Linked DNA regions of Danio rerio. The protein of the gene in region 2 interacts with the protein of the main gene of each other region in a biochemical or structural test. Links are inferred from orthologs where the notes say so. Each region holds a gene or a part of one and is shown on either strand. Other genes may lie near its edges.

What was found.
Region 1: the proteins of top1a (region 2) and ncl form a complex in vitro, tested with the Homo sapiens proteins (2 studies listed by BioGRID and IntAct). The link is inferred for Danio rerio from reciprocal best matches to the Homo sapiens genes TOP1 and NCL.

What each region holds. Positions count from the first base shown.
Region 1 is NC_133197.1:38,758,441-38,762,755, forward strand, and holds the start of ncl (nucleolin), read right to left. Parts: upstream 3,131-4,315; 5' UTR 2,997-3,130; coding exon 2,979-2,996; intron 217-2,978; coding exon 112-216; intron 32-111; coding exon 1-31. UniProt on the Homo sapiens protein: Nucleolin is the major nucleolar protein of growing eukaryotic cells. It is found associated with intranucleolar chromatin and pre-ribosomal particles. It induces chromatin decondensation by binding to histone H1.
Region 2 is NC_133186.1:27,367,150-27,371,415, reverse strand, and holds the start of top1a (DNA topoisomerase I, like), read right to left. Parts: upstream 2,817-4,266; 5' UTR 2,697-2,816; coding exon 2,664-2,696; intron 2,271-2,663; coding exon 2,246-2,270; intron 1-2,245. UniProt on the Homo sapiens protein: Releases the supercoiling and torsional tension of DNA introduced during the DNA replication and transcription by transiently cleaving and rejoining one strand of the DNA duplex.

The DNA.
Region 1 (4,315 bases), on a different chromosome or scaffold from region 2:
TTTTCTTCGCTACAGCTTTGACTGGTGGTGCCTGCCGAATACACAGTTCATTAAATACCTTTCAATAGCAACAGGAAAAAAATAAAGCGCATTATTTGTCAGCCTCCTCACCTCTTCTTCCTCATCGTCATCACTGTCCTCCTCGCTGGATTCCTCTTCCACTTCTTTAGGAGGTGGAGGTGCCTTTTTCTTCGGCGGCGCATCTTTTTTAGCTGCCTGTAACAAACAAGCAATGAAAATATTAATTTAAATGTTGATTTGTGCGATTAGAAATTGATTTAGCAACTAGACAGTCAAAGCTTTGCACATTTAGTCAACAGAAACCTCAAATGGTTTCAGTTTCAGTTTCAGTCCTGCGGTGCAAGAAAGATTTAACAGATTGTTTTAGCACTTGTGCATGTATTAAACACGAGTTCCACCCTTTATAAATTAGCTAGATGCCATTATGCAGAAATGACAGCATATAGTTTAAGCTTCAATCAATGACACATTCAATCTTGATGCATTCGAACGCTTTCACTTCAGCATTTGTTTGGAGATCATGAGGTGTGGCTACTCTTGTTTAGGCTATATAAAGCTTTAAAAGTGCAATAAATTTAATACATCTGTATGCTCAGCGTTCATACTTCATAAACAGTCATAGCTGAAACCATATTGCATTGAATTAGAAACTTACAATTGGTAAAGCTGACAAGAATACAAAATTCTGAATGTCACCATGTTTATAGCATGATCCATTATTAATCTTTTCACACTTGAAATCTCAAATGTCATTATATATATATTAATGAAAAAAAAAACCCTACATGAATTTTTATACAAATGTTCACTTAAATCAGTGACAATTATTCTGATTTAATGCACTACGATGTAGAATATGTACTTAATGTCCCACACTCAGAGCAAATGTCAAGTCTTACTAGCCGATTGAGTGAGCACACTTTCGTTCTGCCCAATCAGAACTTTTCAATCTGCCTCTTATCGGTCTCATTAATTTGCGGAGTGTACTTTCACAATTATTATATTATTGTAAGTATAATAACAAGGTGTCTACAAGTTCCAGCAAGTCAAATTTAAGACCAATTCAGACTTGCACAAGGCTAAACACTAAAGATTTTTTAATGGCCAAGTTAAAACCATATCATTAAAAACAAATGTTTTTGCAAAGATAAATAAAACCATATTAATATGCAAATAGTGTAAATGATGTTTTTTTTAAACTTATGAAATATAATGTTAGTTATTAGACGGGTGCTGTCCTGATTGGGTATAGCTTTACAGAGGAAAATTAAGACCAGTTTAAAATTAAGACCTACAACACAATAGTGCAGCGGATTAAAGACTTTAAGGCCTAAAATTCATATATATTTAATTTTAAAACTTTACAATTCTGCAGATACCTTAAATAAGCTACATCATCTCCTTACTTTGAGCTGATGCACAAAAAGGAAAGGTAATTTTTTTTATCTTACTGTTTGCTCAAGCGAAAAATGATTTCAATTTCTGAATATTTAACAACTAATTTGAATAAATGGTGAAATTAATATTATTAATATATAATAACATATATAATAATAATCATATCTATGCAGTGAAACAGACTGAGCTGAATCTTGACTCAAATCAAAAAAATCTGTCAAAACAAAAATTGCAATCAAGACATTTTCTCCAAATCGCACATCCCCCTTAGCTCTTGCAGTTAGGGCTATGAAAGGGTCAAATAAACTAAACATCTAGGGGGGGAAAAAAAAAAGTACACCCAAGTTGTCTCAAGACAGACATAGTTGACCAATGAAAGGTCTTAACCATCCTCAAATGTTGACTTGTGTACATTTAACAAGACTTGGCATTCATTAAGTTCACAGGTAACTTGTGCATGTTTAAAACACAAACACAATCTTGCATAAACAAGCGTAAGATTTCGCATAAAAATCTGAATTCTCATCTAAAACTTTTCATCTTTAGTATTAATACATTTATAAGACAAATGTGCAAAAAAAAAAAAAAAAAAAAAAAAAAAGATAAATACAAGACTGGCACAACACCAATTAAAATATTTAGATTGGTTCCTAAAATCCAACATTTTTACCTTTCAATCACTAAAGGTGTAACACGTGTTATTGGAGATTTTGCATATAATTCATTCGTGGTACAACCTTTTAAAATTTGACTATTAAGTGCATGACTTAATGTAAATAATGTACTTATACAAATAATAAACTAAAATAAAATTATGACTGTTAATGAATATTTCTTAAGTATGGATCTGTAACAAAGTACTCAAAAAGTAAAGTACTGCTCGCGAAACTCCCCGCGTGGATCATCCCACGTGGGTTGAACGTAACACGTGGAAAACACACGTTAACCCTACAGCGAAGTAGAAATAACGTAATTAAATTAAATTTCGTGCCGCATTTACATACTTGACTCATATAAACAGTGAAACACGAGTTAAAACGCAATTGTGTTTAGTGCACGGTCTTATACGTGTTAAATGCCCCCACATTCACTACAGAGAGCCAAAATGGAGGCGTTTAGCATTTAGCTACTTTCCACGCATGGCGAACAAATGCCTTGGAGCTAAATCCACGACACATTAACACCTCCCCAGGGTTTATTAATCAACGCAATTTGTTTTTACAACATCACAAAACGAGTCTTCTTAAAATTCACCACGCATGTTCATCATGCGTGTTTGTTGAGGCCTGCAAATGCAGAAGCGTGGTCGGCCATGTTACCTTCACAAACAGGAAAAGCAGAAAACACACGCTAGCTCATTTTAGCCGTCAATACTGATCCTTAAATAAGTATTTGAATATTTAACCTTACATTCCGACGAATATTATATATGTTAAACTAAATATAACTCACACACATGGGCCTTCTCGCCAAATGTAAAAATAAAAACAGGAAAATACGCATTTTGAGATCCGTGCTGCATTTAAAGCGACAATAACGGATTGACGGTAATATCTTACCTTAGCGAGCTTTACCATGACTGAGGGCTGTTTTTACAGTAAAGCTGATAACTGAAAGAGAGAGATGGTAAGAACCGTTCAGTCACACGTGTTTCTCTCTACAGGACAGAAAAGAGCGCTCGATACGCTTTTAGTACGTCCTGAAAAACCCCGCCCACTACACCCATGACGTTTACCATATGCGCGTTCACGAAGCTCAATGTGAACCGAGTCGCTGCTGTTCAGACTCGTTATCTCCATTCGGTTCTTTTGAACAGTTTTTTTCTGATTTTTTTGCGCTCATTGAACAGTATGAATGAATGAATGAATGAATGAATGAATGAATGAATGAACTAGAAATTTAAAGTTCGTAGACAAACTTGGTCTCTTGAGAAAGCCGAGTCTGAAAGTGTGAAGTTTAAATAACTGAAGTGTTTTAAGTTTGAAACAGTTATCAAAAGATTAGCATGTTTCCAATATAGTTTGGTATGTTGCTAGGGGTTCTCAGTGGTTGCTATGCAGTTGGCAAGGCATTGCAACTCAGTTGTTTGGTTGTTCTGATTGGTTGCTAAGGTGTTGCTAGCCAGTTGTTAGGGTGTTCTGAGTGGTTGCTAAGGTGTTAATAAGTAGTTGCTAAGGCATTGCTAGGCGGTTGCTAAGGTGTTGCCTGGGACTTCTGAGTTGTTGCTAAGGCATTACTAGGAAGTTGTTAGGGTGTTCCAGGTGGTTTCTAAGACGTTGCTAGGTGGTTGCTTATGTGTTCTGAGTGGTTGCTAAGGTTTTGCTAGGCGGTAGCTAAGGTGTTTCTAGGCAGTTGCTAGGGTGTTCTAGGTGGTTACTAAGATGTTGCTAGTCGGTTGATGTGTTCTGAGTGGTTGCTAAGGAGGTGTTAGGTGGTTGCTATAGATGATCTAGCTCGTTGCTTATGTGTTGCTAGGTGGTTGCTAGCATGCTCTGATTGGTTGCTAGGCCGTTGCTAAGGTGTTGCCTGGGAATTCTGAGTGGTTGCTAAAGCATTGCCATATATATATATGTGTGTGTGTGTGTGTGTGTCATTGCAAGGCATTGCTAGGTGGTTGCTAGGGTGTTTCAGGTGTTTCAGGTGGTTACTAAGATGTTGCTAGCAGTTGCTAGGTCATTTCTAAGGTGTTGCTAGGTGGTTGCTAAGGTGTTTTGAGTGGTTGCTAGGTGGTTGCTAAGGTGTTCTGAGTATGTTTCAAGTATGATTAGTATATATTGGTATGTCATTACCATATATATATATATATATATATATATATATATATATATATATATATATATATATATATATATATATATATATATATATGTGTGTGTGTCTGTGTGTGTGTGTGTGT
Region 2 (4,266 bases):
GACAACCACAGTGGCATGGTGTGAACAGGCAGTTCATGTATTAGCACAGCAATGGTTAAATGCTCATAAACGCTCTGGAGGAAAGCAGAATATTCACCAGAAGCATCATGCTCAGAGTAAGAAATGGGGATGAAGGGAGCGGAGAAAAGGGTAAAATAAGATTTGAAATAAAAATATTTCATGAGATTACATGCATAATTATTGTAGGTTTTATTTTTATTTTGGAAACTCTGTGGCACTTTTAAAACACTGAAGCAGAAATAATTTGCCAACTCTCATATTTCCCAGTTGGCCAAAAAATTAATTATCAAAGTGCAACAAAACAGCATAATGGCTGGCTGTCAAGTTCAGCTGTGATTTTGCTTGGTAAAAAAGGAGCGAAGGAAGAAAAATATATTTGAACTTCCATTATTGTTTTTAATATCGATTTGAGTATATATAAAAAAACTACTACTAACAATATATAATAGACAGTGACCAAAATGTTACTAATGGCCTAAAAAAAAAGGAAATGAATTTATAGATTACACACTTGATTATCAGTTCTTGTGTCACAGAGAACTAAAATGTTACTAGGGCTGCGCAATATATCGTTTCAGCACCAATATCACAATGTGCTAATACTCAATATTCACATCTCAAGACATGCAATGTTGAGTCTGGATTATAGTTAACCGAGTGGCTACAGAATTGTATTTAATTACTGTATTTATACAGAATTCTTACTTTTTTTTTTTTACACATAAATTTCAACACAAAAACAAGATTTTACTTGTTTGTTAAGATTTTATCCACTGAGAGAATTTAGCTTTAAAAACTTTTTTTTTAATAAATTAAAATTTTAAAATAAAACTATATTTTTACTTGAACTGAAAAGGTTTTGCTATTTGGACTAGAAATGAGACGAACCAAAGGAAGAAAAGCATTTTTTTGCATTGTGATAATTCAATTTCTGTACGTGAATACTGTTAGACTCCCCAGAAAACCAGCAAATAGAGCTCTTCAAACCAATATTTAATTGCAGAACCATAAAATATCACAATATCAGGTTTTTTCAATATTGGGTAGGCCTAGATGTTATCAATACACAATCAATACTCCTTTACGGTTAACAGATAATGCAGTTAGATCATGTGATCAAATGCAAGCACTACATTCTTAAATTTCTTCTCATTAACATAAAAACAACTAAACTGATCATAATGCATTAAATAATATACAAGTATTAAAATCTTTTAAACTGAAAATGTATAAAAAAAGGTCAAGTATTTTTCATTTTATTGTTTCATTGCCACCTCGGGTTTACAAGAACTTGTTATAGTAAAGTTATGGACCTAAAACGTTAACAGACATTTGGTGCATGGACAAAAGAAATGTGTCAGGTGTTAAAGTACTTTAGTTAATGCCATGGCAAGTTAAAACTATATAGAAAATGTTTTATTATAAGTTTTATGTAAAAACAAACAATTTATAATTGTGTAAATTGACAATTTATGTCTCTGAATGACCATGTTTTGAACCTGCATGACCCAACTGATCTGACCAATGACACTGTGAAATCAGGTTTAGGACCAATGAAATCCCTCATTAGCGGTTCGTTTAAGTTTACTAAATCTGGATGCAATTTTTAATTTTTTTTACGCATATTTAATTACAGCACACATCAAGACAAAAAAAACGTGCATCATAGCCAATTCCTGAATAATTACTTACTGATTTGATTTGTGAACATTTGTTTTATTTCATCACATTTTATCGATTTAAGATGTATTTGAGGTCGACATGTTTATTTTGGTGAGAGGATTCAGAACAGGTCACCCACGTTTCTCAATCCTTCGCCTCCATAATCACGTCGATGTGCACTTAACGTTCACTACACTCAGACCGCTAGACAGAGAAAAAGAAAATGGCGCAGAGACTAAGTCCTCAACCCCCAAAACCTCACTTTCACAAGCCTCGTTTGCTTATTGTCCATCTTCCAAAAACGCTCAAACGACGCCAACTGACAAATAATCTCTTTCTCTTTCGAAAGAGACATTTTTTGTTGGTTTTGAAGCATTGTAAAAGCGTTTTAAAAGGGCTCAATGTGAACAATAGGCGCTTGTCAGTGAGCGAGAGGGGACTTAGTCTCTGGGACGCCATTTCTGTCCTTAAAACTAACTGGTCGTCAAGCAAGCGTTAGAGGTTTAAAACGTATGAAATTGTATTTTAATCACAACGTGGCGATTAGACGAATCCCACTCACCATTATGTCTGGATCCCGAGTCGATCTGCGGAAAAACAGTGGTGTACAGTTAATGTTAAATCGTGCCATGTCAATAGGCTGCTAACTTTCAACTTGATGCTAGTCGGCGGTTAGCGCTCAAGCTAACAAGCCTGTTCATACAACAACGTTTAAATACCACCGCTGCGAGGGACAGAAGAGCATACAAAGTTTGTATTCCCAAAATGAAGTCTTTGATAGGGGACATTATTAAAAGTAAAGCCGCGAGTGATAGAAAATACTCCATTAACACAATCAAAGCCGACTTCCACTGTCTGTTAGCTTAGCATGCTGGTGGAAAACTGCCGCTGCGGATGGAATTTAAACAGCCGAGCTAGTGACTACAAAGCATCAAGAAAGAAAAAAGATAACTGACAACCACAAAGCACAAACACTTTACCTGGGAATCGTTGTGGGAATGGTCCCCACTCATTTTTATGGGTCTTGTTTTTAAAATAACACAGTTAAAAGCCTGTTAATATAAAATGCCGGCGAGGAGCTGTGGGCAGAATGAAGAAAGACACAGTTGTGTAACAGACCAAGCCCGAATTTCAAACCACTGCGCATGTCAGACGCGTTTAAAAGGATAAAAAGGCGTTTTTCCTGGCCTTGACTCCGCCCACACTGTGTTCGCGCACGGCTCCCCTCTGTGACGTCACTCCAGACTTACTATGGAGCCACGTGGTGCCAGTAAAGAGAGATTTGAAACAGTTATAACAACGATTATTACAATAAATAATCATTATTATAACAACAACCGAAATAAAAGTAGTCTAAGTAATAATGGTAATACAGTAACAATATGTTTAACATTTGATATAATAATATCCACATGTGAAAGTGTACTATCACAAAAAATTCCAGTCAATCTTTTGACAGACACTTGTTTAAAACCATTTACTGATGAGAACAATAAGTAATCAAAGACAAAGATTTTCAGTCTTTAAAAGACCCTCATATATGATCATTCTTGTGCTAGGGACTCCAATGCGAATGTAGGCTATAATATGAAATCCTTCTGCTTTTGTAATATAAGACACTTTTTAAATATTAAATATTGTGGGTATAAAATATTAATTGCATAATATAATAATGACTAATTAAAATAATACAATAAATAGTATTGAAAATAAATATTTGTTTATATATTTTAATTACATGGTTTTTGTTATTTATTTGTTTCTTTTATACTAAAAGACCTTGCATGACCAAAGACCACCTTTTGTGCTAAATCATCCTTAAAGTTCAACTAAAAAAGACACTATGAAAGACCTGAGAGTAAATTAAAAGCCCATTTTAACTTTTGGCTGAGGTGAACTGTTTGTTTTATTCCTAAAAATGTTGCTTTAAGTCATATTAACTAACGCAGTATAAATTGTAACATTTTATACTGAACTAATAGAGTAACAACATAAACAATCTTATTTATGACTAAATGGAGTTCAAAGGAGAATACAGTGAAGCTGCACCTGCCCTCACCTTGATTTGCTCGTAGAAGACTTGTGCGTTGTCCTCTATCTGTGTCAAGAGACAGTTTTCACATTTTAAAAGTGAACATTTACAACATTTAATCCTATCATTTAATTTCAGGTGGGGTTTTTAGCTCAGCAATAAAACAAAGAAACAAAAGACTACGTTCAATTCAAAATGACGATCTCTGTCCAAAGCATCCGCCCCACCACCTCCCCATCATTCTCCCTCTCTATTCAGATGGTATGGCGAGCCAAATCAAAGGTTACCATGGGCCAACTTTGGCCCGTGGGCCCTACTTTGGGCATCTCTGACTTATGGCTTTAACAGCTTTAATTGTCAAACCTGTAACTAACAGTAATCATTTTACCAGGTGGGACAATGTGTGTATTTTCATTTAAACAGATGACTGATTGAAGTGTTTCTTTTAACGACTATGCCACTGAATCCCTAATGGTATCTTGCCTGTATGCTCACTTCATTGCTTCCCAATTGCCACGTTTATCTTGAACCTGCACTAGGCCTATCTCTCT